Rattus norvegicus: one gene and its partners. The protein of the gene in region 4 interacts with the protein of the main gene of each other region in a biochemical or structural test. Links are inferred from orthologs where the notes say so. Each region holds a gene or a part of one and is shown on either strand. Other genes may lie near its edges.

Region 1 (5,704 bases), on a different chromosome or scaffold from region 4:
CTCTTTACTATGTGGTTCACAAAACCTTCAATATCCCCTTCTCTATGAAAGTTTGACCTCCACTCCAGTGAGATAGATGGTAAGAAAGAGTCTCTGGCCATGACTACCAAGAATGGCATCTGGTAGGAGTAACAGGTGGTTTCCATGTGGTCCGGGGGAGTTTTGGTGGAAGTGTTTGGGGCTGTACAAATCTTCCCAGAGAATGTTCTGTAGAAACAATGGAAGTCCTGGGGCACACAGGCTCGAGAGAAGTGGTCAGTGGAGCCGTGCTTGGTGGAGGATGTGTTCATCCAGATAGCGCTCGCTCTGCAGACGGAACAAGTGCTTGTCTGATTCCCCTTTATTATATGTATTTAAATCTGTTGTGGGAGGGCTCATAACACATGCTATGGTGCATGTGTGGAAGTCAGAACAGCTTGGATGGAGACCGTCCTCTCCCTCTGCCATGGAGTTCCAGGACATCAGGATAGGCTTGGCAGCACGTTTACCGATGGGGCTGTCCTGCCAGCCTGGATTCCACACTTCTCTCTCATCTCGGCAGCAGTTGCTAATAAAGCAGATGTCCCTGAAGTCTGGCTTAGAATATGGCTGGTGAGGGACTGGGGGGCAAAGCTTAGTATTACCATTCTCTAGCATGCATGGAGCCTCATTCCCAGGACCCTGTTCCTTGACTTGAGGCAACTCAACAGGGAATCTGCCTGTCTGTCATCTGTGCTCTTTGCTTCTTTCCAATGCGACTCACCGGTGGCAGGGCTAGGTTCTGGCTGGTTGATGGTTTCCCTCTGAGATGGCTGACTGCCCTGTTCCTGTCCTTCTATCTTTCCTGCTTTCCCCAGAGGTGTCCCTGTGGCCTGTGATAGGCTGAGGAGCATCTTGTCCAACCTGCAATCCAATTACCCATTATACACGAGGTGGCACTGCCGTAGAGATCTACATTTTGGGCCCTGGAACCTGTTCGTCTCCGTTTCTCTCTGGTATTTTCTTTCTCGTTGGTGCTGCTCACTCTTTGGGTCTCTTTCACAGACAAGCCCACCCTTGAAGCCCACCCTTTTGTTTTGAGACAGGGTTTCTCTGTATAGCCCTGGCTGTCCTAGAATTCACTGTATAGACTTGGCTAGCCTCAAATAGTGATCTGTCTGCCTCTGCCTCAGTGCAAGGGATTAAAGGCATGCGCCACTGCTGCCTGGGTTTTTTTTTTTTTTTTTTTTTTTTTGGTTCTTTTTTTTGGAGCTGGGGACCGAACCCAGGGCCTTGCGCTTCCTAGGTAAGCGCTCTACCACTGAGCTAAATCCCCAACCCTTTTTTTCTTTTTTAAAAAGACTGTTTTTAGACCAGGCTGAACACACAGATCCTCCCACTTCTGCCCCCAGAGTGCTGGGATTAAAAACATGGCGCCACAGACTCCACCACCTCTGCCCGACTCAAAAGATCACTTTTTTTAAAAAAAATTGTGTTTGTGCATGTGAGTGCGGTGCCCATAGAGACCAGAAGAGGGCGTAGGATCCCCTGGAAGTGGAACTACAAGGGCTTGGAGTGCCTGGATGTGGGTGCCCTGTGAAAGGGGAGTACTACCTGCTCTCAAGGGCTGATCCACCTCTTCAGGCAAGGGGGAGGTGAGTGGCTCCAGTCACAGTGCGGACGAGCCCACTCCAGCCAGGAGGTGTGGGTGCCTCCGTCCTGCGCATGCGCACTCCGTTCGGGCATAGCATTGTCTTCCCCCACTCTCTTGCCCTGTGTGGTACATGCTGCTTCCGCTTGCGCCGCCCCCTCCCAATTGGTTTCCGCGCGCGCGAAAAAGCCGGGGTCTCGTTCAGAGCTGTCCTGTCGTCTGCAACCTGCAAGATGCCAGCACGAACAGCTCCAGCCCGAGTGCCTGCACTTGCCTCCCCGGCAGGCTCGCTCCCCGACCATGTCCGCAGGCGGTAGGTACCACACAAAGTGGGGGCGAGGGGCGGGACCGATGCGGAGGCATTTATTGGGGTATCTCGGGGTGGCCCTGCGGCCGCTGACAGCCAGGGCGCGCATGCGCGGGGCAGCGTTTGGCGCGGGCTGTGCTTCCGGTCGCGCGCGCCTCTGGCTGTTGGCGCCAAAATGGGTGGGGGCCTGGTTGCTGGCAAGCCCATTGACTGGGAACTTGAGGGAGGAAGGGGATGGTCCCTTCTAGCCTTCTGGAATAGAACAAGCTTGGGGACACCTTCAGGGTTTCCCCTCTTCGGCCAGCCCGGCTCCTGGGTTGCAGGAAGTGCCCCTCTCAGGGCCTGTGGACACCCTGAAGCCCCCACCCCTCTCCAGCCTTCACTTCCGGTGCCCTGCAGATCCCGCCGCGCCCACCCGAGGGTTCCTCCGCTGGGACCCCGAAGGCCCTCGTGCAGAAGGGCTCTGCATTTCTCCGTTCGAGTCCCGCTGTCAAGTCCTAGGAGCTTTTTCTCTCATGGTGCGGTGCTGGGCCTGAGCAGCTTACAGCCCTCGTGGGTTTTTGTTTTGTTTTTATCCCAAAGGAGCTCCTGCGATCCTGGAGCTATCAGAGACTATGCCTGGAGAGAGGTGGTGCAGAGTGGGCCCTCCACTTTGGCAGTAACATAAACTGTCCCGAGATCCCAGAGCAATCGAGGAAACCTTTTAACACTGTCCAAAATGTGTATCAGAGGGAGGGAAAAATGGATGATAGTAAGATGTCTCCGCCCCCGCCCCGTTATTTTAACCCCTGTGAACCAGTTCCTTCGATTCTGCCGCCATCGAGGAAGCTTTTTACATTGTCTAGTGTTTATTCCGAGGAGTGAGATGGCAGATAAAACTCCCATTTCAGAACATATGAATTCCCCCACACTCCCGCCCGAGCAGTCAAGGAAGCTCTTCAACTTTCAATGTTGTGTCACTGGAAATGAGGGATCCTACCACTAGTACCTTCCATACCTCCACGGGGAGGTCTGTGTTCAGGGATTGGCGGGAACACCGGATCCTGCTTCCTGTTCCAGAAGGGCATCGTCCATCCGTTCAATCCTGAAAGCTTGTCCCACGTGTCACTGTGCGCTACTTAGTCATAGGTTCCCTGACTTTTGCTGCACATATTCCAACCCGATAATGAGTTTACTTTTGGTATTTCCATGGGTTAGTTTGGTGGGGTGTTGCCAGGCCGGTTGCCTTTTGAGGTTTAGGGGGATGAAGTGGGAGGAGAGCCTGAATTCCCCCTTGTCAAACACTCCCCACCCCCAGTTTGCCCCCGGGATTGGACCTGAAACTCTGTGAACGGTTTCTACCACTGAGCTATACATCTCCAGCCCTTTCACTTTTTCTTTTCTTGGAGATGGATTCTTGGTGAGTTTTCTCAGACTGGCCTAGAATTCCCCATCTCCCTGCCTGTGACTCCTCAGTGCTGGGGGTTACTGACATGTACCACCATGATGGTTTGGTTATTGAATGCTGGCTTTTTGATTATATAGACACAAACATTCACAGCCTTTGACACACCTCAACAGATTTTTTTACCTTTACAATTTACTACCAAAAAATACATACCTATTAAAGTATTTCGTTCTTTAAAGTTAGACAGTGCTGTAACCTGCCTTTCTGTCTTGTTTTTTTCCTGTTCTTTGGGGTGTGTGTGTGTGTGTGTGTGTGTGTGTGTGTGTGTGTGTGTTGTTTTCATTTCCAGGAAAGGATTCCTGTAGCCCAAGAAGGCTAGCCTTAGGCTGACTGTATAACCCAGGCTAGCCTTGATCTCTTGTATCTACTCAAGTGCTGGGATTACAGGAATATGACCCGGGTTAACTTTTGATTTAGAAAAACTTAGTTGCAAAGTATCTACAGTGTGAGATAGAGAGGTACTGACATTTGGTGGGATAGTCCAGAAGCTGACTTAGGCCTTGTTGCAGCTTCCGTCCACCCTGTTTTGTATTTAAATGGCAGTTTAAATAGAAATGTGCATAGTTCTGCTAGCTGTATAAAATACAGGATTTTTCAACATGTGGATTTTAAGTCTTAGTGTGTATGAGGGGAGGGTATGTGCTACAGCTTGAGTGGAGGTCAGGACCCCTTGCAGGAACTGACCTTTCCACAAGGTCCTGGTTATGGAACTCATGTCATCAGGCTTGGTAGCTTCCCCTCATCGGCTGAATTCTCTTGCCAGCCCCAGACTGACCGTTTCTTTGAAATACAGTAAACCCTGCATCTTTGAGGAATTCAAATCATGCTTTTTAGTGAGATGTGGCGGCCATGGCCTATAACCCCAGCCTTTGGGAGGCAGGAAGGTCGTGAGTTAGAATTCAACTAAGGCCTCATTTCAGACATTCACACCTTGCAGGTGAGGGATTTCTTTTCCTGAACAGGTGGCATCCTCTTCCCTAGGGAGGTTCCTTTGACACGGGTGTCTAACTTCTTTCCATTTTTTACAATTGAAACTTATTTTCAAGGCATGGTCTGGTCTCTATGTAGTTTGTCTGGTCTCGGTCTTGCTATTGTTCCTCTCAAGTGATGCGTGTTACGTGCCTGGCTGACTCATTTTTGTTAAACTTACATATAAATGGTGTGTGATACATATATACGTATATACACATATATACACATATATGTATACACACATGTATGCACTCTGGTATGTGTTAAGGGGAGACTTTTTAACTTTATGTGCATGTGTACCACAGCGTACGTGTGGCAGTTAGACGTTTTCATGGTGTTTGTTACACTTTCACCATGTGGATTTGGGGTCATACTGAGGTAGGTGGTCAAGGATGTGGGACACGTGCCCGTCTCCCCAAGCCATAGTTAACTACATTTATCTGTCTGCGTCTGCATGTGCATATTTAGCAGTGTATTATGGCGGTCAGAATACTTTTCCCGAGTCAGTTCTTGGGCAGTACTGGAGATGGAGCTCAGACCATCAGTCGTGGTAACAAGAAATGGAGCCATTTCATCTGACCCTATAAGTTTTATTTCATTTTGAGACAGGGTCTTACTATGTAGCCTCAGCTAGCCTGGAACTCTGGGGACCAGGCTGCCCTCGAACTCTGATATCCACCTGCCTTTGCCTCTTGGATACTAAGCTGCCACCATGGCCAGTTTAGAAAGCTGCTGCTGCCTTTTTAATTCCATTTGAACTTTTTGGAATTGGTTTCTTGCCTTCCCCCTTATGCTGAGGGAGAGGGAGAGGCAGGTATAGGTGCTGGTGAGTGCCTCTGTGCCCACATCTGTGCCTGATGCCCTAGGAGGCCAGAAGAGGGCATTGGATCCCTGGAGCTGGATTTTCACTTTCAACCTTAATTGCTTTTTTGTTTGAGACCGGTTTTCACTCCTCAGCCCCCTGCTACTCTAGCATTTGATATGTAAACTAGGCTGGCCTGGAGCTAACAACCGTTCCTCCTACCTGAGCCTCTGAGTAGGAGACTAGTAACCTTTTCTTTGAGACCACTTGCTTATAACCTTGTAACTCGCTGATTTATTAGTCTGCCTGGCCAGCAGGCGTGGAAGTCCTTTTCTACGTCTTTGAGATCCAAACTCTGGCCCTTGTGCTTCTGTGACAATCGTTTTACTGACTTCCTCCGACCTTTTTTGTTTTTGTTTTTGTTTTCTTAGGCGGTTGGGTAGCCAGGGCCGGCCTCACATACCCTGTGTAGCTTTAAGATGACATGGACTCCCAATCCTCCTGCCTCCACTTCCAGGTGCTGACATCCATGTGTTCACACTGATTACTGTGGCACTAGCGATGGAG
Region 2 (5,676 bases), on a different chromosome or scaffold from region 4:
TCTCTCTCTCTCTCTCGTGAGAGGGGGGTGAAATGAAGGGGATAAAGGATGTGAAAAAGAAGAACCTACAAAGTAGCAAAGACCAGCTACAGATCTCGCTGTGTTTTAGGCTAGCCTGGTCTACATATTGAGTTCTAGGACAGCCAAGACTATAGAAGGAAATCCTGTTTAAAAAAAAAAAAAACCCAAAAAAGAAAGGCATCTGTCATCAAGTCTGATGATCTCAGTTTGATCCCAGTACCCACTTAGTGAAAGGAAAGAAATGTATCTGGTAAGTTGCCCTCTGACCTCCACATGACAGTTGCAGTCTCCCACACAGATGCACACCAATGTGTATGTGGGTAGATTTTTCTTTAAAGGACAGAAATTTAAAGGATGGGAGGAGCCTGAACTCAAGGGATAACACGGCATGGACAGTGAGGAGGACATTTGTGGGGATGAGTGACATTAGTGTCCTATGCGTCCCCTCCATCTTCTTGACCTTTTTTTCTGGAGTACTGGGGCTAGAAACCAGAGTCTTCAGCATGCTAGGCAAATGAGGTAACTCTGAGCTATACTCCTACCCATCTTCCCCTTTGAGATAAAACTTCACTGTGTAGTCTCTGCTGGTCCAGAGCTCTCCATGTAAACAAAGCTCTACTGTTTTGTTTTGTTTTTTTAATTTGTTTTGAGACAGTGTCTATACAGTCCTGGCTGTCTAGCAACTCACTATGTATAGACTATGCTGACCTCGAACTAGGAGAGCACTTGACTCTGCCTCCAGAGTGCTGGGGTTAAAGGTCTGCACTACCAAGCCCAACTCATATTTAGCTTTAATTATGTATGAGCACATGTGAATGCAGATGCTCTCAAGAGCCCAGAACAGGGGATGAGGTCTTCTGAAGCTGCAGTTACAGTCACTGGTAACTGGCCTCTCTCTACAAGAGCAGTATTGACTCTTAGCTGATGGGCCATCTCTCCAGCCTGTAGCCATCTTTTTTTTTTTTTTTTTTTTTTAAGAGCATCTTCTGTTGCTCTGGATGGGTTCAAATTATGTAGAGGAAGATGACCTTGAACTTCTGACCCCATGAGTACTGGGATGACTGGAACATCCTAGACCTAGGAATCAAACCCAGAGCTTCCTTCAATGTTAAGAACTTTCCTGAGTTGCCATCTCTAGCCCTTATTTTTCAGTAAGTACACTCATGTTCATATTAATTAAATTGCAACTATATGTCAGTTTTTAAAAGTGGTTCGTGCGAGGATCAATGATGGCTGTGTGCCATTAATCGGAGACCATAATTCATTCTGTCACCTTGATGTCCGCCCCCGCAAAACATTAAACTGCTTTTTCTAATCTGCGCCAAGTGAGAAACTGAAATGAGTGGGAGGGGCGGTAACTATTTTCACTTTTGTCTTCCTGTTTTTTTCAGAGCCTGGGAAAGAAGTCAGAATTTCCAATCTTTTCCAATTCCCACATGATTTCCTAATTTAGAGAAAATAAGTCTTTCTCCATGTGCTAAAGCCTCCTCTGCCCCCCACCCCGCCTCCTCCTTCTGGCATTGTGGAGGGAGCCTGATGTGTTGATTCCTCCAGCCAGTGTCCCCAGACTCAATCTGCACACCCGCCCTTGGCTTAGATGGCAATTTTCTCTCCCTACAAAAGCTTTCATCACTGGAGCTCAGGCTCCTGGGAGGCCTTCAAGGAGATGCTCAAGTGGTGTGACCCTGGCTAGCTCCGGAGATCCCTAGGGATCTGAACCTTAGCAGACAGGACCTATCTGTGGAGGCGAAGCCCTGGAGCTCTTCCAGCATTCATTGCTCTCAGGGACTCTTAGAGGTACAGGTGTCTACCTCGGTCCCCTCTACACCAAGGCCTCAGTCAAGCCTTGATGAAGCATGCTTTGGGAAGCACTCCTGCGCGCAGCCGGATCTAGGTTGGGAGCATATGGCCTGTAACGCGCGGCGGTCCCCAGAAGGCCCTGCACGAGTAGGAAAACGTGTGGAATTCAGTCACTGTGCTCCGCGGAAGCAGCAGGCCTGAGCCTCTCCTTGTGCAGGGCGAATGGCCGCAGCCTGCCAGCAGCCCGGGCTCTGCTCCAGACCAGGCCAGGGTGACATCACCAAACTCTTGAGATCAGAGCGGGGCGGGGAACGGGACCCGAAATCCCCTAAAAACAGAGTGAGTAATCGCGGGCCCGCCCTCCAGGCGGGGCCCGGACACGGAGCGAACCGCGCTGCGTAGTCCGGGAGCGGCTTGCAGTCGGGCGGGCCTCAGGACGAATAGCCTCGGCGTCCTACCGCCGCGCTCCGGTGTCCCCGCCCGCGCGCCGCACACCTTCCGCGCCCAGCGTGAGTTGCGCACCTGCTCTCGGCCCCCACGCGCGTCGGTGGCGGCGGCGCAGCGCGCAGGCGCGGCCGGATTCCGGGCAGTGACGCGACGACGGGCGCGCGCCGCGCATTTCCGCCTCTGGCGAATGGCTTCGCTTTAGCGCGCCGTGGGCTCAGCTGCGACCCCGGCCCCGCCCCCGGGACCCTGGCCATGGACGGTGAGGCTGCCCTCTGGCCCGCGGGACGGCTGCCCTAGAGTTCCGGGACCTGCGGCGGGATCCCCCTCGCGCCGTCTTCCGCCCCTTTCTGCGCCGCGGGTTGCTGCGCAGGGAGCGGCAGGCCGGATGGTGGCACGGGGCGGGGCGGGCTGCGAGGGGTCTGACTCAGTTGCCCCTCTCAGTGGAGGGCGCCTTGACTCAATGTCCCTCCTGGGTGGGAGTACGGGTGAATCTTGACTCAGTTTCCTCCGGCTTCCCCCCCCCACCCACTGTGTCGATGCGATTAGTTCTGGCTTCCTTTCCGTGTAAGGGAGAAAGTATCTGACTCAGTATCCCCCGAAAAGGAGAGGGGGTAGAACCCTTCCTCAGTGTCACTTATGAACGTAAAACAGGCTCTGACTCAGTTTCCCCGGGCAAAGGAATACCTCTGTGCCCCTTTTCTCTAGTAGAGAGATGCTTTTGCCTTCTTTACCTGGCCTCTTTCAGGGCAGGTCTTAGGATCTTGGCTCAGTTTCCTTTGGAGGCATTCCCTGGTGAGGGTGGGTACTGGAGTTTATTGACAGTGTGCCTTGTCTTTCCCTTTCAGATCTGTTTCCCCTCATCTTTCCCTCAGGTAAGTGGACCATCCTTCCTCAGTAGGTAGGGGCTGTCCTGGAGTAGGGGCCATGGGGGCAGCACCTAATGGCTGACCGTATCACCCACAGAGCCAGCCCAGGCTTCTGGGCCATATGTGGAGATCATTGAGCAGCCCAAGCAGCGGGGCATGCGTTTCCGTTACAAGTGCGAGGGCCGCTCTGCAGGCAGTATTCCTGGGGAGAGAAGCACAGATACCACTAAGACGCACCCCACCATCAAGGTAAGCAAGAGCCCCCAGGGGTGTCGGGGTGGGGACACAGATGTGGTGGAAGGCACTGTGGAGCCCCAGCAGACTTGCCTCCTTGCCACCGCGCCCCGTGTCTAGGAGCCAGATTTGGGATTGCTGGCCTCTAAAGTACTCTGTACTTTGGACAGATCAATGGCTACACGGGACCAGGAACAGTTCGAATCTCCCTGGTCACCAAAGACCCACCTCACCGGCCTCATCCACATGAACTTGTGGGGAAGGACTGCCGGGATGGCTTCTATGAGGCTGAACTCTGCCCAGACCGATGCATCCACAGGTGAGTCTGAATAGATAGGCTGGGGGTAGTGTGAGGTCAGGGTAGGTAGGGGGCAGGGTAAGAGCAGGCTGGGCCAGGCAGCTGTTACAAAGTTACACTTTTCTAAACACTGGCAGAATCCAGAGTCCTTGCTCTGTCCCCAGGTCTGCAAACAGACCCCCTTTGTCTTAAATTCGCTAACAGATGGGAACTCTTTATCTTGGAGCGACAGATCCTTTATGACTGGATAGCCCAGTCCCTTAGGCTCTTGTATCAGAAAGTCCGTAATGGACTCTCCTAGAGCTTAAATACCAGTTGGTAAAACCAGGGGACAGTTGTACAAACAGATAGAAAAGATACTAGTGGAGAATTATAATTTCCATGATGAAAAGAAAACACAGTAATAAATTAGAAGGAGGAGGAGGCTGGTCTCGTGGCATAGGGACAGAGTCTCATATAGCTGAAGCTGGCCTTGCACTCATGAGGGTTCACCTACCTCCTCTTCTCAACTCCAAGGGTAATAGGCGCGTAGCACCATGTCCTGTTACGTAGGTCTCATGACTTTGGGTTGGAAGATTGCAGAAGGCCTCTGTGCTAACACTCAAATGGTGAGAAAAAGCAGACAAGCCCAAAAGAACATTGCATGCACAAGAAAGAAGTATGGTGACCTGGAAAAGGGACTAAGTTTAGTGTGCTCAGGGACGGGACAGGAAGGCCCTGTGGCTGAGGCTAGGACACTGACTTGGGGGCTGGTGTGGGCCAGGTCCCTCAGAGACTCGCCAGTGGGTAAGGAGTGGGTTCATTGTAGCACAGTGGGAAGCCTTGAGCTGTGAGCTGAGGAGTGGGAAGAGGGTGTTCTTTTGGAGACACAGAACTAATGCCTGAGGCCTCAGCTTCCAGAACCTGGGGATCCAGTGTGTGAAGAAGCGAGACCTGGAGCAAGCCATTAGCCAGCGCATCCAGACCAACAATAACCCCTTTCAAGGTAGGAGCAAGGGGCAGGACATAGCCTGCCTGTGGTGCACATTCTGCCACCTTCCCTGGGCCTCTGGCGCTCCTCACCCTCCATGACCAACCCAACAGTACAAGTGGAACCTCGCTGCCAGCATGGTACACACTCACATGCTACCGTTGAGAGTCAGGCCTAGAAAGGGGTGGTGTATTCAGGTCCCAGTAGAGCCGTGATGGGTCTAGGATTTTGTCTTCCTCCCCTTAGACTTCTGTTTTATATATCCTCAAATCACCTTCCTCTTCCCTCAGAGCTCCCTGCCCTCCCCATGCCTTCCACCACTTTTTTTTTTTTTTTGACAGTTCCCATAGAGGAGCAGCGCGGGGACTATGACTTGAATGCGGTCCGCCTCTGCTTCCAGGTGACAGTGCGGGACCCATCAGGCAGGCCCCTCCGCCTGACCCCTGTCCTCTCGCATCCGATTTTTGATAACCGTAAGTGGCCAGCTGCAGTAAGGGGAGAGGGTGGGCTTGGGAAGAGAATGGGGCTGGGGTGGGTGTGGCCTTGCTGCAGGGGGCAGGGCAGAGAAGACCCAGAGCTGCCTCTGTGGGAAGCTTGCAGGATGCCCTGGAGTTGGATGGGAAGTGACTGTTTTCCATATCTTGTGTTGAGATGCTGGTGTGCCAAGAACTGTGCTCATGACTTTAGGAAACCAGATAAGGCTAGACAGCAGTAAATGAACATTAGTAGCTCACAGGAAGCTCTGATGACCTGGGCTGACACTGATGGATTGCAGTCTTTAGCAAGCAGCAGAGCAAATGAAAATAGAAGGGCTTTAAAATCCTAAGGACTGGAAACCAGTATGAACTGGAAGTGAGGAGCAGAGGGCTCATTGCCAAGGCAGGGATGAACCAAAAGCTGAAACTCTGAAGCTCAGGTGGAAGGAGACAGATGTGGCCAGTGTCTCCTCTGGACTGGAAGGTCTGTGAGGGACGGAAATGCAGCCTTCCGTGTCCCTCTTACCTAGAGCCGAGCTACAAGCACTGCAGGGAGACTGTGGT
Region 3 (5,760 bases), on a different chromosome or scaffold from region 4:
ACATTCCAGGATTTGCAATGAGTAATTTCACAAACTGTTCATGAGTGGGGGAAGGAAAGACACTCTCGCTGCTTTCCAAATCACCACAGAGTCTACAGAACACTTTCCAGTCCCTATGCTTCTATCCTCATGCAAACTTGAGACAGCCAAGGCAAGATCTAGGTGCCCATTTTATTTTTTTAAACACAAAACTGAACTGAAAAGCATCCTTGGGAGTTGCAGTTTGCTTGGTTTATAACAAGATCTCATGTGCCCTGACTGCCTATATGGCCAAGGATGACCTAGCACTCTCCTGGACTTCCTCTATCTACCTGACCTGCTGGGGTTGCAGGTGTGTGCAACTATACCCAGCTGTAGGAATTGTAAATTTCGGCTCCACTCCACATTTTCATTGTAAAGGTATACCAATTTGTTTTCAAAGATGAACACATTATCTGGGATGGGCATAAGTGTTCCTTGTGTTTCTTTGTTTACATTTTTATTTATTTCTTCTTCTTTTTATTTTATTTATTTTATTTTTTTCGGAACTGGGGACCGAACCCAAGGTCCCCACTGAGCTAAATCCCCAACCCCTTCTTCTTCTTTTTAAAAAATATTTTATTTATTTAATGTATATGAGTACACTGCAGTTGTCTTCAGATACACCAGAATCCGTTACAGATGGTTGTGAGCCACCACGTGGTTGCTGGGATTTGAACTCAGGACCTCTGGAAGAGCAGTCAGTGCGCTTAACCACTGAGCCATCTCTCCAGCCCCTATTTATTTATTCTTGCTGTATCACAGTCCATGTCCTGGGACTTAATCTCTTCCAATCTTGACCAAAAGACTCTAAACCGGAACTGGGGATAGTGATCCAAACATGCAGTCTTAGCACTCAGGAGGCCATGCAGGAAGGTTACATTGATTCAGTTTGAGCTACTACATAGCAAGATTCTATTATCTTAAAAAAAAAAAAAGGTGTGTGTGTGTGAATAAACCAAGCATAATGGCTAACTCGTTCAATCCCAGACTTGGGAGGCAGAAGCAGGCATACTTAAGCGTGTTCCAGGACAGCCAGAGCCAGACAATGAGACCATGCCTCGAAAAAACAAAGAAACAAACTACCCCCCCCAAAAAAAACAAAAAAAAAGGGGGGCGGGGGCGGCCTGGGATTGATTCTAAATTGACCAAGGTTGGGTGGTTCAAAGTTAACCGATGCGTGGAAGATAAAGTAGTATGAGGTGATAGTGAAAGTACCCGGGCTTGAGAGCTCCTTGTAGCCTACACTGGACTTGGGGACTTGAATATTGTCAGCTACTCTTTTCTTTTTTTTTTTTTTTTTGGTTTTTTTTTTTTTTTTTTTTTTTTTCCGGAGCTGGGGACCGAACCCAGGGCCTTGAGCTTCCTAGGTAAGGGCTCTACCACTGAGCTAAATCCCCAGCCCCTGTCAGCTACTCTTCTTGTGGTCATCCCCACCCGCAAGGGCAGGAAGTATGTAGGTCTTGTTAAACCTTTCGTGTTTCGATTCCCAGTATTGGCAAGATGCCTGTCAGAGAGGACCACAATGCTGATCAGATGGGCTGACCTGAGCAATCAGAAATGCTGATGGAGGACCTCAGGATTAAAGGATCCCTCCATATGCACCCTCCCCACCCCTGCACCGCCCTCTGTGAGGCCTAACGTGGAGTTACTTAGTTCAATCTCTTCACATTGTAAGCATCTGCTGCCTCTCGGTTCCCTTTTTTCCTTTTCACTAAGTCAGGAGTCAAGGTCTGGGTTGAGTATGGGACAATAAACAGGCTCTCAGGCGTTTGTGATTTTTTTGAGACAGGGTCTCACTGTGTAGTCCTGAATGGCCTGAACTTGGAAAATCCGCCCGCCTCTGCCTCCCAAGTGCTGGGATTAAAGACAGGTGCCATTGTGGACTGACCAAACGAATGAACGATAACTGGGCGTTGGCTACTAAAGGAATTTCAGTAAAATGAGACTGAGATCAAAGCCACACATCCCTACTCATTTCCTGGCACCCCTCTTGGGCTTGGCTTCTGGGTGACAGGGAAGAACCCATGATGTGAACTAATGGAATAAGTGGGTCTTAAGACCGGAGATGTGGCTGAAGTGAACTTTGGAGGTGAGCCTGAGCGTGCAGAAGAAGCAGTTTCTGGACTGTAAACTGAGGGGGTGGAGACCACAGGTTGAGAGTTTAGGGGCTCATGCGGCATGTGGAGACTGCGGGACGTGCAGAACCAAGTACGAAGTTTGTTGCCTTCGCCAGACCCCGCCACCCATCGAGTGGGCGGTGAAGGGGGCGGGGTCCATTGCCCACGCCCCCTGCAGGGCACAGCGAGAGGCAGAAGGGAGAAGGCGCCCGGCACCGCCCGGACAAAGCCTGCGCGCGCCCCGCCCCGCGATTGGCCACCCCGCCCCTGGTCCCACCCTCCGTCGCCTGCCCCGCACGCTGCAACCAATGTCTGCTACCGAAGCCGACTTCGTCACAGCCACGCAGGCCAATGGAGGAGGCGTTCGGCGGCGCGTGGCTCTTTCGCGGCAAAAAGGATTTGGCGCGTAAAAGTGGCCCGGACTTTGCAGGCAGCGGCGGCCGGGGCGGAGCGGGATCGAGCCCTCGCCGCGGCCTGCCGTCATGGGCCCGCGCCGCCGCCGCCGCCTGCCTCCCGGGCCACGCGGGCCGTGAGTGCCATGGCCGTAGCCCCCGCGGGCGGCCAGCACGCGCCGGCGCTGGAGGCCCTGCTCGGGGCGGGCGCGCTGCGGCTGCTCGACTCCTCGCAGATCGTCATCATCTCCACCGCGCCCGATGTCGGCGCCCCGCAGGTCCCCACCGGCCCCGCCGCGCCGCCCGCTGGCCCTCGAGATCCTGACGTGCTGCTCTTCGCAACGCCGCAGGCGCCCCGACCCGCGCCTAGTGCACCGCGCCCGGCTCTCGGCCGCCCGCCGGTACGGACCCTAGGCGCGGGCGGGGGAGGGGCGGGCTGCAGCGCTGGGCGGTGCGGAGTCTGGGCTGGGCCTCGGGGCTCCGCCCCGGGGCGCGCGCTGACTGACTGCCTTGCCCTGTCTGTTTGCTGCGCCTTGCTCTGGGCCTCAGCGTCTTCACCAGAGCGGCAGGTTTATTAATGATAATGGCTCACGTGTATTCAGCTGGTGCTTGCTTATTGCACGCCCAGGCTTTGGCACACTTGAAGTCGGCCAAAATTCTCAACTCTGTTGTGAGCTGGGTGTTGTCACGTGCCCATCTGCCAGAGGGAGGAACTGAGGCCCAGAGACAGGGAAGTGCTTCACGCAGCTGCAGATGGTGGGGCTGGTATTTGAACTGATGGCGGCTGGCTTGCTGCAGAACCTATGGCTAGTTAGTGCGCACAGTTGCTTGATGGAGATGAAAGAGGGTGACTGTTGGAGACATCCTCGAGAGACCCTCCTTCGTGGCTCTGCCAGGTGCAGGCCTGGCCTTCCAGGCCTCTGGGGATAGGCCTCTTGATTGGGAGGCCTTCTCTGCAGGGGCGGGGTGCTGGGCCAGCTGCTGCAACCCTTCCTCTGCCTGTCCTTCCATCTGCCACCCTTCCAGCCCCTGGTTGCCATGGAACTTTATTAATCAGGCGGACAGACCCCTGAGACTCTGGAAGACTGGGTGGGCTGGGCCCCTGAGAAGGGGCCTCCAGTTCCTGGAGAGAGAAGACGTGGGAGGGAGATCCCTGGATAAAGTCTTTTCCTGATCCTAAGTAGCAAGACCAGTTTAGGCTGGGGGCCTAGAAAAGGCAGCGGAAGTGGAGAGTGGAACTTGGATCTAAGCAGGGGCCAGCTCAGCCAGTGGGCCACCAACTTTATTGTAGGGGTGGAGCAAGCAGGAGGTGTTCACAGCAGGGGGCTTGGAGCAAGCGGGAGGGGCCAGACCCAATACCGGAGTAGAAACTGTTCAACTCCTGGTGGGGGTGCGGGTGGCAGCTGGTCCCAGAGGCATCTTAGAGAAGGCCCATACCCCCTTTGGCCCAGTGCCCAGTGCTGCCTTCCTTCCGGAATCACCAAGATGCTAATAACAATAACAATAGCAACCACCATTGTTTTGAGGACGTTTTGGGTGCCAGGCTCTGTGCTAAGCACTTTACCCACTTAACCCTGTGGACAGCCTTACTTTTTCATCCTTCCATAGATGAGGAGGCTGAAGCCCACAAATGATGGAACTTCTTAATCATTCTTCTAGGGAGTGGTATTTCCTGATTGTTAAAGCCCTTTCCTCCCACTGAGGAGGCCGGCCAGTATTTGGTGGGTCAGCTGGCTTGCCTTCCCTCCACTCCACGGGCCTGTACCAGTAGGTAGAAGGTTGGGCCCTGGGCAGATATTCTACATTTGACTAAACATTGCATTCACTCAAGTTGTGGAGTTCGTGAGTCCCCATTATGTGCTAGGTGCAGAGGTACTTAAGGATCCCCTTCCCCCACGGTACTTAAGGCCCAGCAAACATTTTCTGTGGGAGAGGTTGACACCATCCTGGAGCCAAAGGCCAGGAATGCAAATCTGGATTTTGGCCTCTACTGACTTTGCTCTGGAATTTGGGGTGGGGGGGCAGTCCTTGAAATAAGCTACAGGCTTGGCTTCCACCCAGTGAGCACTTGCTGGGTGCTTCCTGTGTACCTCTCTACACCTCTGCAATTCAGACATTCTTCCTGCCCTACCTACCTTTACCTTGTCTGTGTGTGTGTGTGTGTGTGTGTGTGTGTGTGTGTGTGTGTTTATAGATCCTATCGGGGTGTATTGACTAGGGAGAAGCAGAGACAGGAGAATCCACATGTTCAAGGCCAGCCAGGGTTACCTAGAGTGAAACTGTACCTTAAAGGAAGTTGGTCTGGAGAGATGGTTTAGCCATTGAAAGCACTTGCTATTCTATATGACAACTTAAGTTTGATCACAGCCCAACACTGAGGTCACAGATGACCAACTCCAGTTTCGAGGGGTTTGATATTGTCTTCTCCTGTCCTTGGGTACCCATGTTCATATATAGTCATACGGACACAAAGTTCTTTTTAAAAAGAAAACAATTTAAAAAGCAAATTAGTTAAATAAAAATAAATTAAAACACCAACAGCCTATTTTGGTTAACTGACATCTTATAATCCAAGCAGGCAAGAATGAGGATACTGAGTCTTGAGTTCAAAGCCAGCCTGCACTACAAAGACCCTGTTTCAAAATGGTAACAGCAAGAAGCTGATGTTTCCATTATAATGTAGTACTTGTTTACTGTGGACAGTATGTAGTACCATACATTAAGTCTGTAAAAGACAGGCTTGGGGTTGGGGATTTAGCTCAGTGGTAGAGCGCTTGCCTAGCAAGCACAAGGCCCTGGGTTTGGTCCCCAGCTCCGGAAAAAAAAAAAAAAAAAAAAAAAAAGACAGGCTTAGAGTAGAAAGCTAGCTCTTCTTCAGGGCTCTTGGTTTAGGTGTGACACTGTTACTCTATTATATGAATCTCTTGCTGGTCACTGTGAGCACTTAACTGCTGTTGGGGATTGGACCCAGAATGGAATGCACACCAAATAAGTACTCTGCCAGTCCCCAGTCTTCAGAACTTTTGTTTTTAATAGTTCTAAAAGTTGCTGTGAGCCACGTGTGATGGCACCTTTATAATTCCAGCACTTAAGAAGTAGAGGTATAAGGATCAGGAGTTCAAGGTTTTCCTGTGCCTGATCCATGTTCAAACAGTACGTCATTCACATTGCCCAGAGGAGGTAACAGTCTGCCCTGGCTCTCCCACAGAAGCGCGCCTGTTTCTGAAACA
Region 4 (5,603 bases):
CCTAAGCCTGCTAACTGAACATCCACAGTCTTCCTCTTTCTAAAGCAGAGTGGAGCTAAACTTTCTGATAATATTTGGGGCTAGTGTCTCTATAACTTTTCTCTTAAATGCTTTTTTTCCCCCTTCGAGTCAGGATTTCTCTACATAGCCCGGGCTGACCTGGAACTCACTCTGTAGACCAAACAGGCTAGCATTGAGCTCAGAGATCTGCCTTCCTCTGCCTCCCTAGTGCTGGGATTAACGTCACCACGCCGTTTCTTTTGCTCTTTTTTTTTCTATTTTTCTGACATATATATTAGCCAGTGGTGGTGCTGCTCAATTGGTAGAGAGCCTGCTTCCCTAGCACGGAAGAACCAGTCTTGTAAACTCAGCATGCTGGCCAATGTTTGTAATTGCCGAGCGAGCTGTGGCGATGGAGGCGAGATGGTTAGTTCTCCTAACCAAAATCATCCTCCTGTACTTAGTGAGTTAGAGGTTAGAGACCCGGGCTACAGGAGACCCTGCCTACAATACTTCACCCCACCAAAGGACATTTAAGAAAAGAAGGGGATGTTAGGGGTGGGGGTGCTGACTCTCCGAGGCCTTGGAAGTGCCTTGAAATCCTGCCTTATTCATTGTTCAGAAAACCAAACGGAATAACTTACTTACCCTCCTGCCCTACCCGCCACGATGACTGTTCTTGGCAGAAGGCCAGACCGACACCGGGTAATTCCATGGTACATTCTGTACATGTGTAGCCATTTAACCCGCTATTTAAAGTGGTCCTTTGCTGCCACCTGTAAGAGGTAGCACCATAATGACACTCGTTAAGTGGCTGGGCTGGGAAGGGGGTTTCTTCCCTCAAAGATGCCTGAGTCGGTGAAGTGGTTGGCACTTGGAGAAACTAAAGAGACATCTGGGGACATCACAAGTGTAGGACCGGAGGCGAGAGGAAGCGCGCTAGACACGGGGTCCTAGCTCAGGCTCTCCGCTTGGTGGCTCCTTCTCCAAGACAAGGAGAAGGAACCCGCCAAACCTCGGGTGCGGCCTGCTGCCATTTGGGTTTGGTAAATTCCTGGATCTCCCTAGGGACCTGGGAATGAGAAAGAAGGTGGAGACTGGGGACTCTGGTAGAAAATGCAGTCGGGCGGAATCCGGGGCGCAGGACGCCCCCTGGAATCTAGGAAACCGGCTTGTGGAGGGGACTCTGGGCAGTGGAGAGGGAGGGGGCACCTGCGCTCCTGTGCGCGTCGCACTTTGCAACTCTGGGCGGCGGCGAGCTGAGTGAAGTGGGCTCCAGGGCGCGAGGAAGTCGAAGCTCAGGAGCAGCAGAAAGGCTTGGTTCCGAGTGAGCTCTAGCTGTCCTGGAGTGGGATAGTGGGAGGAACACCCAGCACCGCTCACTTCCAAGTCCCCGGTGGCACATCGCGGGGTATCAGGCGCTCCGAGCCCCTCACCCACCCCAGGCGGGTACCCTGGCGGCCCGGGGTGCTAGCAAGCAGCCGGCGGCGACCTGGACCGCGTGGCTGGTGAACAGTGAACCAAGCCAAAAGGTAAATGCAGCCGGGCCGGCCCATAGCCTGGAAGAGGCGGCGCAGCACCGGAGCGTCTTCGGCTCTAAGGAGCCTCACTTCTGGGAAAGGACAGGGAACTGTCAATCAACGAGGGAGGGAGCGCACCGGCGCCGGGTGATGTCAGCGGATCAGCTGCTCCATAACAAAGAGGGGGTATCGCAGGAGAAAGTTGCAGCGGCAGCAGCACCCCGGAGCCTCGGGCACCGGAGACGAGGGGAGGGGGAGCGGCGGTTGCGGCTCCGCGGCTGGCGGAGGAATTAAAAGGACTGTAGGGGGAGGCAGTGCGAGCGGCCCCGACTGCTCCTCCTCTTCCTCCCCCTCCTCCCCCTCCAAACTCGAAGGGCTTAGCTCCTGCGTTCGCTCAGCCACCGCCAGCACCCGGAGGGACCGGAGCCGGACGCACGGCCCCGTGCTGGGTAGGGTCGCAGCTGCCATGGATAGCGACGACGAGGTAGTGGAGGAAGCCGTGGAAGGTACGGCAGGCTTTTCTCCAGGACCCTGGAGTGGGGACAGGCGCCTGGGCCGAAAGCACCAAGAGTGATGGTCTGCGACTCGGCGGGGCCGAGCCGAAGGCCACCGCGGTCCCTAAGCGGATGGCGGGTCGCTCGGCTCAGGCGGGGGCTGCACTGCCTACGCCACGCCGCCGGGAGCGCGCGGGGCGCGGTGGGGCACGGGCAGGGAATGGGGCCCCGCGGCCCTGGGAAGGCTGGGCCCCTGCATCCAGCCGGGCCACGGCAGCATCCTCCCTGGGAGTTGCAACGCTGCCTAGCACCTTGGCCTTAGTCCTTGCGGGGATGGAGGATGGGAGGGCGCCGGAGGGCAGTCCCTTGAGGCCCGCGATCTCCGCGGAGCAGCTGCGTTTCAACCACTTCGACTTCCCCTCTCCGACCGTCTGCCCTTTTCCTAGCTGAGTCGCTGCGTCCGGCGACCACTAGGGCGGAGTTTAGGTGGGTCTTCCATCGCATCGCACCCGGCCAGACACATGGTAGCCCCGGGCGCTCCTCCCGGAAAGAAAAAAAAAAAAAAAAAAGAAAAGAAAAGAAAAAAGATGAAATCATGGCTAGGTAGTGCACGCCGCTCCCCACCAGGCTCGAACGCTCTGCGTTCCGGAGGCGGCTGGCCCTGGTCTGCGCTGCCCCCGGGCGAACTCAGCCACCCACCCCTTCCCCCTCCCTGGCTTCTGAGCGAGGTGCAGCCGCGCCGTGCGGACGCTCCAGCCGGGACCCAAATTGCTGGGTGACACTTAACTTTCTGAATTCCGAGCTGTTGGCTGCTGGTGATATCACCGCCTGGGTGTCAGGTTTCTCCGCCCCTTCTTGCGCACCCCTCCCCCGACTCTTGTCGCCACCGTGTTTTGCTGAGTTTCTCTCTCTCTCTCTCTCTTTTTTTTTTTTTTTTTTTGCCCCCCACTTATAAAAGGCACCGTAGGGACGTTATACAATCTCGATGTTTGTGTCATGAGAGGTTATGATTTTATAACAATAGACACTGAAAAACATTCTTAAGCGTATTTATTATTTATCTTATTCTATCCCAGATAGTGTTCCCGTGATGTTTTGCGTAGTGTTGTTCCAGAATTTGTTAAACGCAGCATCTCAGTAAATAATTTTAAGTCCATGGTTAGTTCTCGTTTTAATGTATTTGTATAAAAAAGGCCTGACAAACGATAAATAAAAACGTGGCGGTGCTTAACAAATGCATATAGATATGTATTTGTTAATGGTACGTTGGGAGGAACCCCTTTTTGGTGTGTTCATAAATATAACTTTTTTTTTCTTTTTTCTTTTTTTTTCCGGAGCTGGGGACCGAACCCAGGGCCTTGCGCTTGCTAGGCAAGCGCTCTACCACTGAGCTAAATCCCCAGCCCCCATAAATATAACTTTTGCAGACTGCTGAAAGCTTAGGGTGAGATGAAGTAGAATCATTTTTTTGAATTCCCGAAAAGGCATTCATTCTAATTTAAGTTGTAAAATTTATCTTCATTTTAGTTTTTTTTTTAAAAAAAAAAACTTTAAACTACATAATTTTGCTTGTAACTTTTGAAGAGACTAAAATGTTGTGGACTCACAGAGCTTATATGTCTCTAAATAAACCCAGTGTTGGAATTAGTGAGGCCCAGCCAGCTTGAGGGAGCCATAGGAAGCCTTAACTTTCAAAGTTATTGACTTCTTGTAAATTTCTGTTATGACAGAAAACATGTTCTTAACAAATCGCCCTCCACTGTCTTGCTCATTCTTCTGGGTTTTTTTTTTTTTTTATAGTATTTGTTTAGGTTTGTTTGGGTCGTTGTTGCTGTTGTTGATTTTTTTACTTATTTATTTTACCTCATGTGAAATGCATATATGTCTGTGTGAGGGATCATATTCCCTGGACCTGGTGTTACAGATAGTTGTGAGCCACCATGTGGTTGCTGGGAATTGAACTCAGGACCTGGAACAGCAGCCAGGACTCTTAACCACTGAGCCATCTCTCCAGCCCCTCCTCCTGTTCTTTAACTTGCAAATTTTTTTGTTTTTTGTTTGTTTGTTTTGGTTCTTTTTTCGGAGCTGGGGACCGAACCCAGGGCCTTGCGCTTCCTAGGTAAGCGCTCTACCACTGAACTAAATCCCCAGCCTCTGTTTGTTTGTTTTTTAAAGATTTATTTAATATATGTAGTTGTCTTCAGACACACCAGAAGAGGGCATCAGATCTCATTACAGATGGTTTCGAGCTACCACGTGGTTGCTAGGATTTGAACTCAGGACCTCTGGAAAAGCAGTCAGTGCTCTTAACCACTGAGCCATCTCTTGCAATTTTTAAAAACAAACCTTTGATCACAGATAGTGCCCCCAACTGAAGCCATCTGTGTTTAGAAAACATGCCCTGTTGTTTATGACCCTAGCACTTGCATGTGAACAAAAACCAGACCTAGTGGCATACACCTGCAGGTGGAGGTGGAGGCAGGAGGATCAGGAGTTCAAGGCCATCCTCAGCTGTATAGCAAATTCAAACCCAGCCTGAACTATATGAGACCCTTTCTCAAAATAAAAATGTTTAAAGTATGTTTTCAGGTTTCATGTTAATCCAGTGGGTTCAAAACACCGAGGTTTCTTTACATAAATGGTGTGTGTGTGTGTGTGTGTGTGTGTGTGTGTGTGTGTGTGTGTAAGTAAATGGGGGTCTTTTTATATAGGATGGACAGATATAGCATTACTATAAATAAGAGTAAATAAGTAGGGTAACTTTCTTGTTTTGCTTTTAGTGAATTTTTGTTTTTGTGGATTTTTGAAACAAGATCTCAGTGGCCCAGGCTGGTTTTGATGTGATGTGCTGGGATTACAGATGTGAGCAACTGTACCTGGATTTTTAAAAGAACAACAACACAATTTTCTTCCTTCCCTCCTTCCTTTCTTCTTTCTTTCTTTCCCTGTGTATGTCGGGCAAACGATACACCATTCGGCTACATACTCCTGCAGAAGAGTAACAATATTGTAACATCCTGAGGAAAGCCAGGTATAGTGAAGCCTAGATGTAATCCCAGATACATAGGAGGCAGGGGAGACTGGGAGTTCTAACAGAGCTTAGACCTATAATAGGTGGATTTTGTCTCAAAAAAAATTAAAAGCAGTAGAGAGATGGCTCAGTGCCTGCTCTTGAAGAGGACCTGGATTCTGTGCCACCATGTGGTAACTCAGAACCCCCAGTAACTCCAGTTCTATTGATTCATACACATAAAAATAAAACAAATCAAAAAAAGAAAAAAGAAAAAAGGCTCGAGAAGCATCTTAGCCTCAGTTTTGCAGTGTGCCAGAGCAAGTGTGTGCTTGCGGTAAACTACATCCCTGGCCCTTTCCCTGGGCACTGTTGGCCTTGGCACTTCGCACTGCTCTCTGCACGTCTCTGAGCAGGTTGGACGGCTGCGGTCTTTTCCTAAACCGGAAGTGGTCTGTGTGCACTGGTGCCTCTCTGCGCACGTTGTCTTGTGATGGTTTCCTCAGCACACGTGTTATCATCAGCATCGCTGTAGCTCTCTTTACTCTCGGATTCCATGCTGAGTGCCCCTCAGACATT

The links.
Region 1: of the proteins of Setd7 (region 4) and Dnmt1, one has a biochemical effect on the other in vitro, tested with the Homo sapiens proteins (2 studies listed by BioGRID and IntAct, with this or other methods). The link is inferred for Rattus norvegicus from reciprocal best matches to the Homo sapiens genes SETD7 and DNMT1.
Region 2: of the proteins of Setd7 (region 4) and Rela, one has a biochemical effect on the other in vitro, tested with the Homo sapiens proteins (3 studies listed by BioGRID and IntAct, with this or other methods). The link is inferred for Rattus norvegicus from reciprocal best matches to the Homo sapiens genes SETD7 and RELA.
Region 3: of the proteins of Setd7 (region 4) and E2f1, one has a biochemical effect on the other in vitro, tested with the Homo sapiens proteins (3 studies listed by BioGRID). The link is inferred for Rattus norvegicus from reciprocal best matches to the Homo sapiens genes SETD7 and E2F1.

What each region holds. Positions count from the first base shown.
Region 1 is NC_086026.1:27,758,900-27,764,603, reverse strand, and holds the start of Dnmt1 (DNA (cytosine-5)-methyltransferase 1), read left to right. Parts: upstream 1-1,842; coding exon 1,843-1,922; intron 1,923-5,704. UniProt on the Homo sapiens protein: Methylates CpG residues. Preferentially methylates hemimethylated DNA. Associates with DNA replication sites in S phase maintaining the methylation pattern in the newly synthesized strand, that is essential for epigenetic inheritance.
Region 2 is NC_086019.1:212,351,877-212,357,552, forward strand, and holds the start of Rela (transcription factor p65), read left to right. Parts: upstream 1-2,459; 5' UTR 2,460-2,520; coding exon 2,521-2,527; intron 2,528-3,113; coding exon 3,114-3,140; intron 3,141-3,231; coding exon 3,232-3,383; intron 3,384-3,538; coding exon 3,539-3,687; intron 3,688-4,559; coding exon 4,560-4,651; intron 4,652-4,977; coding exon 4,978-5,109; intron 5,110-5,676. UniProt on the Homo sapiens protein: NF-kappa-B is a pleiotropic transcription factor present in almost all cell types and is the endpoint of a series of signal transduction events that are initiated by a vast array of stimuli related to many biological processes such as inflammation, immunity, differentiation, cell growth, tumorigenesis and apoptosis.
Region 3 is NC_086021.1:163,532,327-163,538,086, reverse strand, and holds the start of E2f1 (transcription factor E2F1), read left to right. Parts: upstream 1-2,523; 5' UTR 2,524-2,676; coding exon 2,677-2,931; intron 2,932-5,760. UniProt on the Homo sapiens protein: Transcription activator that binds DNA cooperatively with DP proteins through the E2 recognition site, 5'-TTTC[CG]CGC-3' found in the promoter region of a number of genes whose products are involved in cell cycle regulation or in DNA replication.
Region 4 is NC_086020.1:137,752,607-137,758,209, reverse strand, and holds the start of Setd7 (histone-lysine N-methyltransferase SETD7), read left to right. Parts: upstream 1-1,890; 5' UTR 1,891-1,986; coding exon 1,987-2,026; intron 2,027-5,603. UniProt on the Homo sapiens protein: Histone methyltransferase that specifically monomethylates 'Lys-4' of histone H3. H3 'Lys-4' methylation represents a specific tag for epigenetic transcriptional activation.